2 linked regions of the Danio rerio genome follow. The protein of the gene in region 1 binds, or shares a complex with, the protein of each later gene. Links are inferred from orthologs where the notes say so. Each region holds a gene or a part of one and is shown on either strand. Other genes may lie near its edges.

The links.
Region 2: the proteins of serpina10b (region 1) and prozb are in contact, whole or in part, in a crystal structure (PDB 3H5C), measured with the Homo sapiens proteins. The link is inferred for Danio rerio from reciprocal best matches to the Homo sapiens genes SERPINA10 and PROZ. Residues at the interface, in NP_001094077.1 of Homo sapiens: Arg88, Lys89, Ser91, Met92, His94, Asp95, His257, Asp259, Lys260, Tyr261, Asn282, Phe283, Lys305, Met306, Asp308, His309, Leu310, Ala311, Leu312, Asp314, Tyr315, Leu316; in NP_003882.1 of Homo sapiens: Cys129, Pro131, Cys141, Leu142, Pro143, Ser151, His250, Met251, Arg252, Asp254, Ala257, Glu259, Asn260, Glu284, Lys285, Asp286, Phe287, His290, Leu291, Thr336, Thr337, Arg338, Arg390, Ser392, Leu393, Trp394, Gln397.

Annotation. Positions count from the first base shown.
Region 1 is NC_133192.1:59,468,589-59,477,028, forward strand, and holds serpina10b (protein Z-dependent protease inhibitor), read left to right. Parts: upstream 1-3,634; 5' UTR 3,635-3,683; intron 3,684-4,840; 5' UTR 4,841-4,890; coding exon 4,891-5,464; intron 5,465-5,722; coding exon 5,723-5,996; intron 5,997-6,773; coding exon 6,774-6,921; intron 6,922-7,821; coding exon 7,822-8,013; 3' UTR 8,014-8,039; exon of another isoform or gene 8,040-8,144; 3' UTR 8,145-8,319; downstream 8,320-8,440. Other genes in the region: atxn3 (ataxin-3), read left to right, coding at 274-359, 455-521, 618-705, 804-924, 1,078-1,241, 1,616-1,718, 1,810-1,844, 2,056-2,093. UniProt on the Homo sapiens protein: Inhibits activity of the coagulation protease factor Xa in the presence of PROZ, calcium and phospholipids. Also inhibits factor XIa in the absence of cofactors.
Region 2 is NC_133176.1:417,036-424,120, forward strand, and holds the end of prozb (protein Z, vitamin K-dependent plasma glycoprotein b precursor), read left to right. Parts: intron 1-1,219; coding exon 1,220-1,244; intron 1,245-1,474; coding exon 1,475-1,588; intron 1,589-1,668; coding exon 1,669-1,800; intron 1,801-3,797; coding exon 3,798-3,862; intron 3,863-3,951; coding exon 3,952-4,069; intron 4,070-4,273; coding exon 4,274-4,767; 3' UTR 4,768-5,088; downstream 5,089-7,085. Other genes in the region: pcid2 (PCI domain-containing protein 2), read right to left, coding at 5,398-5,487, 5,745-5,868, 5,948-6,073, 6,236-6,309, 6,534-6,634, 6,854-6,995. UniProt on the Homo sapiens protein: Appears to assist hemostasis by binding thrombin and promoting its association with phospholipid vesicles. Inhibits activity of the coagulation protease factor Xa in the presence of SERPINA10, calcium and phospholipids.

The sequences.
Region 1 (8,440 bases):
CCCGTACTGTTGCCCACATTAAGACTGGTTTGTCTTTAGTGCATAAACAGCTTACCAGTGTGGTGAAGAGGAACAGCAGCAGCAGCAGCAGCACACACTGCTGAACGCTTCACTGACACGGCTCACTCTGACATGTGCTGCAGAAACCAACACTGGAATACGTGGAAAACAAACGATGATGATGATGATGATGAACACATGAATTAAATGTTTATAGAGACCTGTGTGTGTTTGTGTGTGTGTGTGTGTGTGTGTGTGTGTGTGTGTGTGCAGGTGATCAGCAATGCTCTGGGTGTGTGGGGTCTGGAGATCGTCCTCTTCAACAGCAGAGAGTACCAGCAGCTGCAGATGGACCCCATGTGAGTGTGTGAGCGCTGTATCCTCTATGTGTGTGTGTGTGTGTGTGTGTGTGTGTCTCCTCTGCACACACTCATCCTCCTCTGCTGTCTTTCAGGCATGAGAAGGCCTTCATCTGCAACTATAAGGAGCACTGGTTCACCGTGCGCAAGCTGGGACAGCAGGTGTGTGTGTGTGTGTGTGTGTGTGTGTTCAGGGTCAGAAAGGTGTGTGTTTGTTGACTCTTTCTTTCTCTCTCTGTGTGTTTGTGTGTGTGTCAGTGGTTTAACCTGAACTCTCTGCTGACGGGTCCGGAGCTGATCTCAGACACATACCTGGCCCTGTTCCTCGCACAGCTGCAGCAGGAGGGTAACACTCATTATCGTGTGTGTGTGTGTGTGTGTGTGTGTGTGTGTGTGTGTGTGTGTGTGTGTGTCCGCTTCAGCGCTGCTCTTGTCCTCCTGCAGGTTACTCTATATTTGTGATTCGGGGGAATCTGCCGGAGTGTGAAGCGGATCAGATCCTGCGCATCATGAGGGTGGAGCAGCAGCAGCGGCCCAAGCTGATCGGAGAGGAGGAGACGCAGAGGTACACACACACACACACACACACACACACACACACACACACACACACACACACACACACACACACACACTGGAGTCTCCATAATTGAGCACTGCAGCTGATTGTGTGTGTGTGTGTGTGTGTGTGTATATATGTATGTGTGTATGTTGTCAGGATGTCAGCACCGCACGCGTCTGAAACCACACACACTGCAGAGGAGCCGGTGCTGGACGAGGATGAGGAGGAGCTGAGGAAGGCTCTCGCGCTCAGCAGACAAGACCTGCAGGTGGAGGATGAGGAGGCAGACCTGCGCAGAGCCATACAGATGAGCATGCAGGGTGAGCACACACACACACACACACACACACACACACACACACACACAGCTGTAGTGATGTGTGTACTGCACAGACCGTATATTCTCTAAACTCAACCCTCACAGTGAACACTGCACCTTCACATCTTCACAATCCTCCGTTCTGCCTGATCTGCACGCTTGTTTACCTGTGATCATCTCAATTTGATCCTCACGGTGATCCAAGTCCCCATGAGTCTGTGTGCATTTAGGTTCAAGTCCCCACTGAGATATAAAAACCAGTACAAACACTTATACAAACTCACACAGTGATGTACTCTCTCTCTCTCTCTCTCACACACACACACACACACACACACACACACACACACACACACACACTCTCTCGTCCTGTAGGCAGCAGTGATGCGGGATCCTCGGCTCCTGCAGGGGGCAGCAGTGAGAAGCAGACGCTCAGTGCAGAGGAGCTGCGCAGGAGGAGACAGGCTTACTTCGACAGGTGAGCACACACACACACACACACACACACACACATCATGCAGACGTGATGATCAGTCAAGAGTAAACGCTGAGTGTGTGATCTGTGACAGGCAGCAGAACGCACAGGACAGCAGCAGCAGCACAGGTAAGAGGAGAGCGCGCACACACACACACACACACACACACACTATAGGAGCAGTGTGAAAGGGTCTGTTCACCCAGAGCTCATCCTGTGGTTAGTGACTCTCCTCGTGTTGGCGGAGCGGTGCAGGACGGGTCATTAACAGCAGAATGCTGCTGTTTGGGTGAGCCGTCCCTTTAAGAGCCGGTCTGAGCGCTCTGCTGTCGGTTTGCAGGAGGCGGGACGGACAGCGGGCCCAAACCCACCCAGTGACGTTGCCGTGGCGACGGTGACAGACGCACCGCTCGCCCTGAACACGCCCCCTGCGGGGATGATGGGAACGACGCCTCGGCTCAGCACAGCTCCGGCCGGCGGGCTCATTACGGACGCTCGTTTAGCTTTGCTTGACCTCTGTGTGTGGAGCGGGAAGCGTTTCCGGAACATTCCTCTTCCTCAGACTGCCTTCAGTGCACACCAGAGCCAGACGCGGACACTGGAACACGCCCAAGTGCATTCTGGGACCATTCGGGCTTTACTGGGTTTCTGCATATTTCCTCTTCTCCTCTGTGAATTACCGTGTGTGTGTGTGTGTGTGTGTGTGTGTGTGTGTGTGTGTGTGTGTGTGTGTGTGTGTTTGATCTATTCACTAATGAAGGTAGACTCTCACGCACCCTAGGTAGTGAACACTGTGTGCGTGAGGGCGGAGCTCACGTAGGCCGGACCAGAGAATCAACATGTGATGATTTCAGCCAATCAGGAGTGTACATGTGATGATTTCAGCCAATCAGACGCGCTTCAGTCAGTCAGGTGTCGTCCCTCAGGCTCTGCTTGTCTTCATTTGTGTGGTTTGGCGTTCAGCAATAGTTTGTAAGTGATCTGGATGACTCTTGCACTTCTCTACACACACTTCTGTTTCTTGAATAAAGGATTTGCTGGAGTGGACTGAAGATGTGGGATGTGTGTTTCATTAGCGATGATGAAAAGGATGAAAAAGTGAAAATGAAAAAGGTTCCAGAAAACAGAACTTATGTTCCTTTGTTTGTGAAAAAATACAACAATATATATGTTATTATAATGCCTGACATGTGTATTTTACAAAACTGAGACCCAAAGCTAAATATCTGAGCAAGTTATAGTCCCAATTTGAAGTTGAAATCTCTTTTGGTAATGTTTATTTTGGCTGCAGTACCAGACATGACCACTGGTTTCCATTCAGTTTACATTGGTGAGCATACAAGAGCGAACCCTGAGTTTGGAGAAGTATAAACTGTATTTTCACACACAGACAACGTGTGTAGAGTAGACATTAAATGAGGAAGCAGTATGGACAGTTTGGTGGTCTTTGCATTAAATTTAGCCTCTTAAAAACATCTAAACCTGTCTTCACACGAGGATTGCTGTAGCAAAGTAATGCTTTATTACGACTTCTTATGAATGACTTTTGTCCCGCGTGCACTGATTGGCGCAGTTATGCATTGACAGTGCTGTGAACTGTTATGGGATGATCAGATGCATGTCTGTTATTTTAATTATTAACGTTGTTTAAAATGCAGATCAGAGTGAACTTTCCCAGATTCATACATGTATACCCTCATACATAATATAATATGGTAAATTCCCCAGCACTGAAACACACACAGTGGCTATATGTGACATAACAGTGACGCACTGGAGCGGCCGTCCTGATCCAGCTCTGAATGGTTTGTTTGTGGTCAGTTCTGGCCTCTGCTGACCCAGACTGACCCGCAGGGCTGGAAACAGTTTGATTGTTAATAGATAATCTCTGATGTTCACTGAACTTTGTCTCTGTAAACAGACGAATCACAACACACGGCTCGAGATCTTCATCTGCCGCATCTGCGCGTGAGTACACGACATTTTAAAGGCTCTTTATATTCTTCTGGGTTTTGCCTTTCTGTTTTAATGCTCGTGGATTGCCTTTGGTACAGATTTACTCTGTTTCACATGGTCATAAACACAGCATGCATGGCTAACTGAGTGTGTGTGCTCTTGTGTAATGTGACAGGGAATATTTCTAACTCTGTATCGATTGCTGTGGATCTGCATCTGTTACTGGTGTTGTGCATGTCTGTGAACCTTTTGTCAAAGCATTGTTGAGGCGGTCTTCAATAGTCAATATGAAGAGTTTCAGTGCTGACATATGGAAGTTCATAATAGTTGGAAAGCTTTAGTGAGGGATAAAGGGAATCCAGGCAGTCGTTGTCTCAGAATAAAGCCGGACAGGTTTATCAGCAGCTGTTGTAGAGGACTGAAGGGTTTATTCTGTGAACACGACCCACTGGACACAACCCTCCTTTATCCTGATTATTACACGGCTGCTGGCCACAACATATAAACATTAGACGCAGAACATTGATCTGAGCTGTAATAGTAACACGGGCGTCTGTAGCTCCGCCCTCTTCTGAAATGACAATCTCATTTGCATTTAAAGCAACAGTCTCCAAAACACTACAGTTAGGATCAAAGCCTGAAAGGGTCAGCTTCAGAGAGCTGGAGAACATCATCTGTGTGCTGTTCTCCACTCAAAGTGAAACACAAACACTGTAGAACGGGGATGTCCAAACTCGGTCCTGGAGAGTTTAGCTCCAACCCTAATCGAACACACCTGAACCAGCTAATCAAGCTCTGACTAGATACACTAGAGCAGGGGTGGCCAACCCTGTTCCTGGAGAGCCACCTTCCTGCAGATTTCAGTTGCAGCCCATATCAAACACACCTGCCTGTAATGATCACCTGGTGTTCAGGTCCTAATTAAATGGTTCAGGTGTGTTTGATATGGGCAGCACCTGAAATCTGCAGGAAGGGAGATCTCCAGGAACAGGGTTGGCCATTCCTGAACTAGAAGCTTCCAGGCAGGTGTGTTGGAGCTAAACTCTCCAGGCCCGAGTTTGGACAGCCCTGCTCTGGACACAGCTGAGATGCATGTACAGCGTTTAGAAAGGGACACAATAGGTCTGCTTTAACGTCTGTTGTACCTCCATTGTGTTATCCCTGTGTAGGGCGTCTGACGACCATCTTCAGCTCCAGAGTTTCCCACAGAGAGTGTAAGATGGAGTTCAGACTTCTCCTCGTCTTCATTTCCGCGTGTTTTCTGTGCTCTGCTGAACATGAAGAGCTCAGAACTCCTGATATCTCAGATCTGGCCTTCAGAAACACAGACTTCGCCATCAACCTCTACCGCAAGATCTCCAGTTTGCACGACAGGAACGTGGTGTTCTCTCCGCTGAGCGTCTCCACGTGTTTCTCGGCGCTCCTGCTGGCGGCGCAGGGCTCCACGCGCACCGAGATACTGAAGGGTCTGAATCTGGAGGCTCTGGATGGAGGAGACTCCCGGCGGGTTCCTGAACTCTTCCAGCAGCTCCACCAGAACATCTCCCTGCAGATGGAGCAGGGCACGGCGCTCTTCCTGGACCAGCACTTCCACCTGCAGACCAACTTCAGCCAGCAGATCCAGAGGTTCTTCAATGCGGAGGTGCTCAGGGTGGACTTCAGCAAGCCGGCGGTCTGCAGGAGCCTCATCAATGAGTTCGTCAGCAGAAAGACCGGCCGGAAAGTGCTGGAGATGCTGGAGAGCGTGGAGCCGCTCACGCAGATGATGCTCCTCAACACCATCTTCTACAAGGGTAAGACTTACTCCAGACACAGATATGAGCTTCAGCTCTGGGATTGCACTGATAAATGTGGAGCCAAAGAACATTGAGTGAGTGAATGAGTGATGTCCAATGCATGTTGTGTTGACATTAAGATGGGATGGAAGTCAGGGGTTACAGGTTTTCAGCTCTCTCCAGATCATAAAGGTTTGGAACCGCTTGAGGGAGAGTAAACAGCGAGTGAATGTTGATCTTTGAGGGAGCTGTCCCTTTACACTCTTTGTTCTGCAGGTGATTGGGAGCGTCCGTTCAACCCCAACAACACAGAGAAGAGCCGCTTCTACGTGGACAAATACAACATCGTTCAGGTGCCCATGATGATGCTGGAGGAGAAGTTCTCTGTGGTGGAGGACCGGGATCTGCGCGCTCGAGTGCTGCGTCTGCCGTACCGCGGTGGAGCCTCCATGCTGATCCTCCTGCCCAACGCTGACGCAGACTACACCGCCATCGAGGACGAGATCAGCGCCGAGCGGCTCCACGGCTGGATCAAGAACATGAGGAGAATGTGAGCCACACGCTGGGATGCACTCAGTCACTGGCCACTGACAACCATAGGCCGAACAAATGGAGGGAAAGTGTCACTGCGCTACTGTAGAGGCTTCCACACCGCACACGGGACGCACTTCACTATGAGCCTGTCCACAGCTGCTCTCGTCATGCTTTTCCAAATGTTTACAGTATTTCTGAAACCGTTTCCATTTCACCACATGAGCGCGTCTCTGTTAAATGGACACGATGCCCGTCTTCAACTCAGGCGCTATATGCTCATTTATTTAGGTGACGTCAACTACAGCATCAGATACGACACCTTCTATTGAAATAATATTGATGTTTACAGAAACGTAAGATATATCTTTGACATATAAGTAATATTGAATCACACTGAGGATCATCACGAGCGCACGATACTCCATTATTAGTGTAACGGAGGCCAGCTGGTGAGTGCTGTGCAGGTAAACCTCCATGGTCTTAACCAACTCCCATGCGGAAGGTCGCTGGTTCGATACCAGCTCGGAGCGGGTTGGGTGGGCTAGGACCGGCGGGGTTACATTAGCTAAATGAAACATGTTTTGTCATCCAGACAGGTGCAGAAGCTCATTCAGAACTGTACAGCAGAAAATAACCCTGTCCTCAGCTTCCCCCATGGGCAGCTTCTTCTGCTTGTTTCAAGGGAAAACTCCTGTAGTTTAGAGTCTGACGGCTTTTCTTGATGGTGTGTGTGTGTTTTACCTTGACTGGTGTGTTTTCTGTTGACGGGTGGTGTTGTGTGTGTGTGTGTCAGGAAGATGGAGGTGCATCTGCCCCGGTTCCGCATGGATCAGTCGTACCACATGCATGAGCTCCTGCCTCAGCTGGGCATCAGCAGCGTCTTCCAGGACTCCGCAGATCTCACCGGGCTAAGCAGAGACGCACATCTGAAGGTCTCTCAGGTGACTGAACGCATACACACTCACACACACTTACATACACATTGAATAAAACACACACACACACACACATATCCAACAAAACACATATGCACACAAATACACACACAAATCTGCAATAAAACACACATGCACACAGAAACACACACACACACACACACACAAATTTACACACACATATATATGTGCACAAGTATGCCGCAATACACATGCACACACAAATCTGCAATAAAACACACATGCACACAGAAACACAACACAAACAAATAGGCATGCACACAGAAACACACATATGCACACAAACAGACACACACAAATACACACATGTGCAAATATGCAATAAAACACACATGCACACAGAAACACACTCAACACACACATGCAGTGAAACATACACAAACACACGTGCACATGTAAAAGTAAAACACACATACAGACACACTCACACAACACGCACACAAATACACACACCGGCACAAATATGCAATAACACACACATATACACACAGAAAAACACTCAACACAACACATACATGTGCGCATCTATGCAGTAAAACATACACACCACACACAGAAACACACAACACGCACGCACACACATGTCATGTGCACACATGTGCAATTAAACACATATGCACACACACACACACACACAAGTTTGTTTCCTATCTCAGTGAGGACATTAGACTTCCATAGTTTTTCTGTCAGGTTAATGAGAGTGTCTGTGGCCTAGCCCAGGCCCTGACCCTAACCTTAAGCGTCTCAGAAACATCCGCTCATCACAGACGTGTTTGTGTATATGTGTCTCTGTATGTGTGTGTTTGTTTCTGTGTGTTTCTGTGTGTGTGTGTGTGTGTGTGTGTGTGTGTGTGTGTGTGTGTGTGTGTGTGTGTGCGCTCGCAGGTTCTTCATAAGGCAGTGATAGAGGTGTATGAGCAGGGCACCAGCGCTGCCTCCTCCACATCAGTGGGCATCACGGCGTACTCTCTGCCGGACACCTTCATCATCAACAGACCCTTCTTCTTCTTCCTCTACCACGAGGAGACCGCCAGCCTGCTGTTCATGGGCAGAGTCATCGACCCCACGCTCAGCTGACACACACACTCTGATGGAGACCGACCGCCCTCTCACACACACACACACACAACACACAACACATACACACATTTAATGGAGACCATATTCATAAACAGACACACACACACACAACAAACACATTGATGGAGACATTTCTCATTAACACACACAACACACAAACATTGATGGAGACATTTCTCGTAAACACACACACACACACACAGACGGAGGCAATACTCATAGACACACACAGATTTCAGAAAGTTGCAGAGAAAATGTTTTTAAAAATGCCATAATAAAAGCATTTGGGTTATTTCCTTTGGACTTTTAGGCCTGAATGTTTCATCATATGTGCCATTTTCTTCTTTAATGTCATTTACATCCTATATTTGATGATCATTAATACATTATTGCATTTTGAATAGTAGAAAATCTAAATAAAGCG
Region 2 (7,085 bases), on another chromosome or scaffold:
TATTGCTGTTTGAATACAGTATATCATTATAGATGTGTAACGTTAGTGAATGTGCAGTAATCTTTCATATGAAATAAACTAAAATATCACTAAAATGTCACTAAAATATCTGTGATTGTGAACAAGAAAAGAATAAACGGTCCAATTAAATTGTTAAAATAAAGGAGAAGTAGATCGGTTTGACTGTACAAGTGAAATACCTTCACACTGCCTGTGCTAAATCATTTGTCGTCGGTACGCAGAGGGGTGATCTGCTCTCGGGCTGCAGGTGGGAGAGGCTGCTGTAGAGGACTGACTGGGCCGCCTGTCAGTGCTGTGAGGCGGGGGAGGGGCCGGCGGCATCACACGCAGCTCGTTGAGAAGAGTAGGGACGGTACAGTATGGACAAATGACAGTCTAAAAAATCTCCAATAACACACAAAAAAGTCGCTAGATTTGTCGCTAGGGGGGTCTGAAAAGTCGCTAAATCTAGTGACAAAGTCGCTAAGTTGGCAACATTGGCGGCAAGCAATCAGAATGAAGTAGTCCACCGCTTGAGAGGTGTTCAGAGAACACAGACCTGTGAACTTTGGTTCCGACCACAGTTGTTCCCAACAGTTTATTGAAAATCGCGAAGACGCGGGGCCCCCTAATTACGCGGGGCCCCCCCGCGGTGCGTGCCCTGCGGGCCCGTCCGCTACGCCACTGATCTGCATTATTGACAAAATCCCGTCTGGTCATCAACTCACCGATGGCAGGAGCAGAAGCGCAGGAATGGTGTTTTAATCGGGTATCCTGATGAAAGGTTAACTGGTTTCAGAAAGTCCGTCGTCATGTTTTTGTCTTTAATTACGCTTCATTACGATCACTGATGTTGATTATGACCGAATGCCCGCGAAACATGCGCGCCACAACTGAGCGCGGGCTAATTGACTCCTCCCACTTCATGACGACTGTTTAAAAAGCACAGCTGTTTCATCATAATTAATTTTCTTTACTTTCATTTAATTCGTTTTTTGTCAGTGGAAATGAAAAAGGGAGAGAAAATGAGTTTATCAGGTGACCTTAATAACACATGACCCCGTGAAGCCCCGCCCTCGAGCTTAAATACTTCGTTGTAAATGTTTTAGCTTTTATTAAGTTATAACATTTTATTAAGTTATAAGTTTTCAAATAGTATAACTAAATGCTACTGAAAGTTTAACCTAACTCACTCATACATCTCTTTTCCCTGTTAAAGAATGAGTTCTGGGCCAAATACTATGGTGAGTGACCTTCAGAATGTTTATTCAATGATTGAATGAAATGATTCTGACAGCTTGTTTACATTATTTAAAGATAATTTTTAATTGTTTTAGACTTTTACATAAAGCCTTGTGCTCTTCATTTGTTCTATGTTTAATTATTTATATTTTGAAGTCTTTTCAGTTTAGATACTAAAGCTCCTCTGCTATATTACTGCAGTTGTATTAAATGAGCATATTTCGGCTGTCAGATGGAGACCAGTGCAGATCTAACCCGTGTCAACATGGCGGCACGTGTAAGGATGGCATCGGCCGATACACCTGTACCTGTGCGGAGGCGTACAGCGGGCACGACTGTCAGACAGGTAAATGTGCAATTGGCACCAGTGAACATGAGATCAGTGTGTCTGATGCATGTCTGACGCTTCACCCTGCTGTTTTCCAGATAAATCCCAGTGTCCATCTGCTGGCCCTTTAGCATGTGAGCACTTCTGCAGGCCGTCAACAGCTGCATACCGATGCTTCTGTGCTCGCGGATACACACTCAACAGCGACGGCAGGAGCTGCTCACCTAACGGTACTCAAACACTCACAAATCACTCAAACACTTGCTGAAACACACAAATCACTGAAACTCGCTGCATTTAATTGCTTCATTACCACTGCATCTTTGCTTCATTACCGCAATATTACTTCATTTATGCAATATTACCGCTACATCTTTGTTTTATTATTGCTGTATCTTTGCTTCATTACCGCTACATCTTTGGTTTATTATTACTGTATTTATGCATCATTACGGCAACATCTTTGCTTCATTACTGCTACATATTTGTTTCATTAGTGCTGTATCTATGCATCATTACCGCTACATCTTTGCTTCATTACCGCTACATCATTGTTGCATAACTGCTGCATCTTTGCTTCATTATTGTTGTATCTATGCTTCATTACCGCTACATCTTTGGTTTATTATTACTGTATTTATGCATTATTACCGCTACATCTTTGCTTCATTAATGCTACATCTGTTTTATTATCGCTGTATCTATGCATCATTACCGCTACATCTTTGCTTCATTACAGCTACATCTGTTTTATTATTGCTGTATCTTTGCTTCATTACCGCTACATCTTTGGTTTATTATTACTGTATTTATGCATCATTACCGCTACATCTTTGCTTCATTACTGCTACATATTTGTTACATTATTGCTCTATCTTTGCTTCATTACCACTACATATTTGTTTCATTAGTGCTGTATCTATGCATCATTATTTCATTAGTGCTGTATCTATGCATCATTACCGCTACATATTTGTTTCATTAGTGCTGTATCTATGCATCATTATTTCATTAGTGCTGTATCTATGCATCATTACCGCTACATATTTGTTTCATTAGTGCTGTATCTATGCATCATTATTTCATTAGTGCTGTATCTATGCATCATTACCGCTACATATTTGTTTCATTAGTGCTGTATCTATGCATCATTACCGCTACATATTTGTTTCATTAGTGCTGTATCTATGCATCATTACCGCTACATATTTGTTTCATTAGTGCTGTATCTATGCATCATTACCGCTACATATTTGTTTCATTTGTGCTGTATCTATGCATCATTAACACTGCATCTTTGCTTCATTACCGCTACATATTTGTTTCATTAGTGCTGTATCTATGCATCATTATTTCATTAGTGCTGTATCTATGCATCATTACCGCTACATATTTGTTTCATTAGTGCTGTATCTATGCATCAATACCGCTACATATTTGTTTCATTAGTGCTGTATCTATGCATCATTAACACTGCATCTTTGCTTCATTACCGCTACATATTTGTTTCATTAGTGCTGTATCTATGCATCATTATTTCATTAGTGCTGTATCTATGCATCATTACCGCTACATATTTGTTTCATTAGTGCTGTATCTATGCATCATTACCGCTACATATTTATTTCATTAGTGCTGTATCTATGCATCAATACCGCTACATATTTGTTTCATTAGTGCTGTATCTATGCATCATTAACACTGCATCTTTGCTTCATTACCGCTACATATTTGTTTCATTAGTGCTGTATCTATGCATCATTATTTCATTAGTGCTGTATCTATGCATCATTACTGCTACATATTTGTTTCATTAGTGCTGTATCTATGCATCAATACCGGTACATCTTTGCTTCATTACCGCTACATCATTGTTGCATAACTGCTGCATCTTTGCTTCATTATTGTTGTATCTATGCTTCATTACCGCTAGATCTTTGGTTTATTATTACTGTATTTATGCATTATTACCGCTACATATATATTTCATCATTGCTGTATGTATGCCTCAGTACCTCTGCATCTTTACCGCTCCGTCCTTGTTACATTTCTGCTGAATTGTGCTTCTTTACTGCTGCATTATTAGAAACTGCATATTTGCCTCATTTCTGCAGACCACAGAGTATGTGCTATTAATCACAAAATGATGGGTTAATTTCTTAGGAAAGACACGAGCATAAATATAAAAGGACTTCAATGCAATGTAAATCATTCTCGTTCTTCTCAGTCCAGAACCCGTGCGGGACGACGGAGATGTCCAGTTTCTGTCCTGATGGACGCTGCTCATGGGAGGTGAAAAGTAGATGAATCATCTTCAAACATGATCAGCCAATCAGAAGAGCAGCTGTTGAATATTCATCAGAGATGTGTGTTTTCTGCAGGTGAGGTTTCTGAACGCCAGCGGTCATGACGTGTGTCACGGTGTGATTCTGGGCCAGAAGTCTATTCTGACATCAGCCACATGTATGACTGCACTGCAGGATCTGCACTTCACTGTCGGTGAGAAACACACACTCATGTTTATCTCTGAGCCGAGAGCCATGTGTGGAGGTGCTGATCTGCATGTGTGTTATACCCGTCAACCCATTTTCCCAGGATTCTCCCATATTTGTTCTACTGCGGGGTGGTAATTTGTTTGTTTTCTGTGGGGGGGTTGAGGTAATCCCTTATTTGCGTGTTGACATGGTGTCTGGTGTTTTCCAGCGGTGGGCGTCTCCACTGCAGCTGTGCGCGTCTCCAGCTGGACACCTCATAAGCGTTTCCTCTCTGGTCCGGATGATGACCTGTGTTTCCTGGAGCTGCAGGAGCCGTTCCCCCCCAACATCAGCACCGTCCCGCTCTGCCTGCCTGAGAAAGACTACAGCGAGAACATCCTGATGAGGGCAGGGCGAGAGGGTGTGGCCGAGGGCGGAGCCACATACTCATACCTGTCATTGGACGACTGCCGTGACGCTCTGAACCTCACCTTCGTGATGACCAATAAGATGTTCTGCATGAAGCGTGAGTCTGCAGGCTCCGAGCGCTGCACTGTGAGCTCCGGCAGCCCCGCCGCCACACTGGAGGGAAAAACAGCCTTTCTGACAGGCGTGTCTCTGTCTGCGGGACGCTGCGGGGACACACTGCTGTTCACCAAACTGTCCCGATACCTGCACTGGCTGCGGCCGCTGCTGCTCGCCTCCGAGAGGGAGCAACCCTGAGAGGGAAACAGACTATACACAGAGCAGGATCTGATTTTGAAAGTAATGCAGTGCAATATTGAGCTGCTCCTTACTTGAGTTACTGAAGAGGAACTAGTAGCTTTACTTGGTTACCTGTTATGGTGAGTAATACGTTACATTACTGTTGAGTTATTTATAGCGATTCTAAAAATGATTGCATTGCAGTCGAGATTTAAAAGATAATAAGTTAAGAATTGTTTTATTTTAAAAACGATTTCCTGAAAACTCAGATGAGAATCAGTGTTTGGCTGAAAAAAATAATAAATTAAATAAATAAAATGACTACAACTGACAACAAAATACTTTCTTTCTTTTTTATGTGACATAATGTTCATTAAACATGTTATTCCTGTAAGATTCAACATCCGTAATGTGTACAAATCTGGATTAAATGTGAGTCATGTATAAAATAATATATTGTTTAATGCAATATAATTAAAATATTGCCATTCTAATGATTTTAGGCTGAATTTATAAATGATTGATCAGTAATTAAAAAAAGAAAATGTACAAAACAGTGTGATGTTTATCTAACAATATTCAGAAGAATATAAGACCGAAGCTCTGAGGATCAGTGTGTCTGTGATGGTGCATTCTGGGAGATGGAGTTCAGGAGATGCTGGACAGCGGAGGGAAGGGATTCTGCTTGCTGACCACCAGCTTCTGGTGCTGATGGGAAATATAGCCCTTAATGTGACCCTGAGAGACACAAAACACATAATCATATTCATAACTCATGAACTGGAAAGAAGAGAAGCAGCACCAGAATATGACCTGCAGACAGCGAGAACTCAAACCAAAATCATTTGATGCTGAAATATAAACTCAAATATTGCATGAAGGATCCATTAGAAATGTTGCCTTGTTGACTAATAATGATGTGTGTGAGGAGTGTGTGTGTGTGTGTGTGTGTGTGTGTGTGTGTGTGTGTGTGTGTGTGTGTGTGTGTGTCTCACCATGTAGATGAGGTTGGCCAGAATGCACTGCACCTCGTCGATGTCCACGTCCTCCACCTTCATCATCTGCAGCGACACCAGAAATGCAGCCAGAGGAAGCTGATGAGTCCTCAGGAGATGATACCTGCAGAGGAAGAAGATGTGATCTGCATGATCTGGGTGAACCACACACACACACACACACACACACACACAACACTCACACTTTCTTGAAGAGGTTTCTGTAGGTGATGATCTTCAGCTTCTCCAGGATGAGGAAGATCCCGCAGCGGATGAAGAACGTCTCGTGTTTGACCAGAGCGGCGTTCAGCAGCAGCAGATTCCCCTCACTGACACACACACACACACACACACACACACACACACACGAGCAGAGGATGATATGATGATTAAGACCTACAGCAATTTTACTGTGTGTGTGTGTGTGTGTGTGTGTGTGTGTGTGTGTGTGTGTGTGTGTGTGTGTGTGTGTGTGTGTGTGTGTGTTTTACCTGACAGCTTTAGTGACATCAGCAAACTGCATGAGGTCATATTTCTTCAGTAGCTGGTGTGTGGGCATGTGACCCTAAAAAAACCACACACACACACACACACACACACACTACTGTCACTTACACTGTTGCGCAACAGATCACGTTTACACAATCACATTTAGATTGGATAATTGCTGATTATCTGTGGAAACAAACATTTTAAGAGTTTGCACATTTAATCATAATGAAAATAAGAATTAATAATCATATAATAATCATAATAAATAATAATAACAATAATAAATGACATGTTTACCAGCAGCATCTTAACGGGCAGCAGGTAGATGAGGATCAGCCGCTTGTTCCTCTGGCAGGAGCGATGGCAGTGGGTAAAGGAGAACGACAGACACTCCTCAGCTGCACACACACACACACCTTCATCATCATCATCATCATCATCATCAACATCATCATTATGTACTGTAACATCATCACACTATAACAGCCCTCATCATCATCACATACCATCAACATGACAACCAAATTATTCATCATCTTCATCATAATTATCACCATAACAATCATCATCACCAAGCTTCCACCATAATGGCCATCCTCATCCTCATGTGGTCAGACCTGGTTTGAAGTCGCTGTCGAACATGGCCTTCCTGCCCACGTAGTATTTGTAGGTGACGCGCTGAGCCATGGTGTACTCGTCCTTCAGGTTGGAGCTGTCGATGGCGCGGATGAGCGGCTTACACAGGTGCAGCTTATTGATCTGACACACACACACACACACACACACACACACACACACATCAACTAGAGTCAGACATGTTGACCTGGCGGCGAACAGAAGACTGGATCA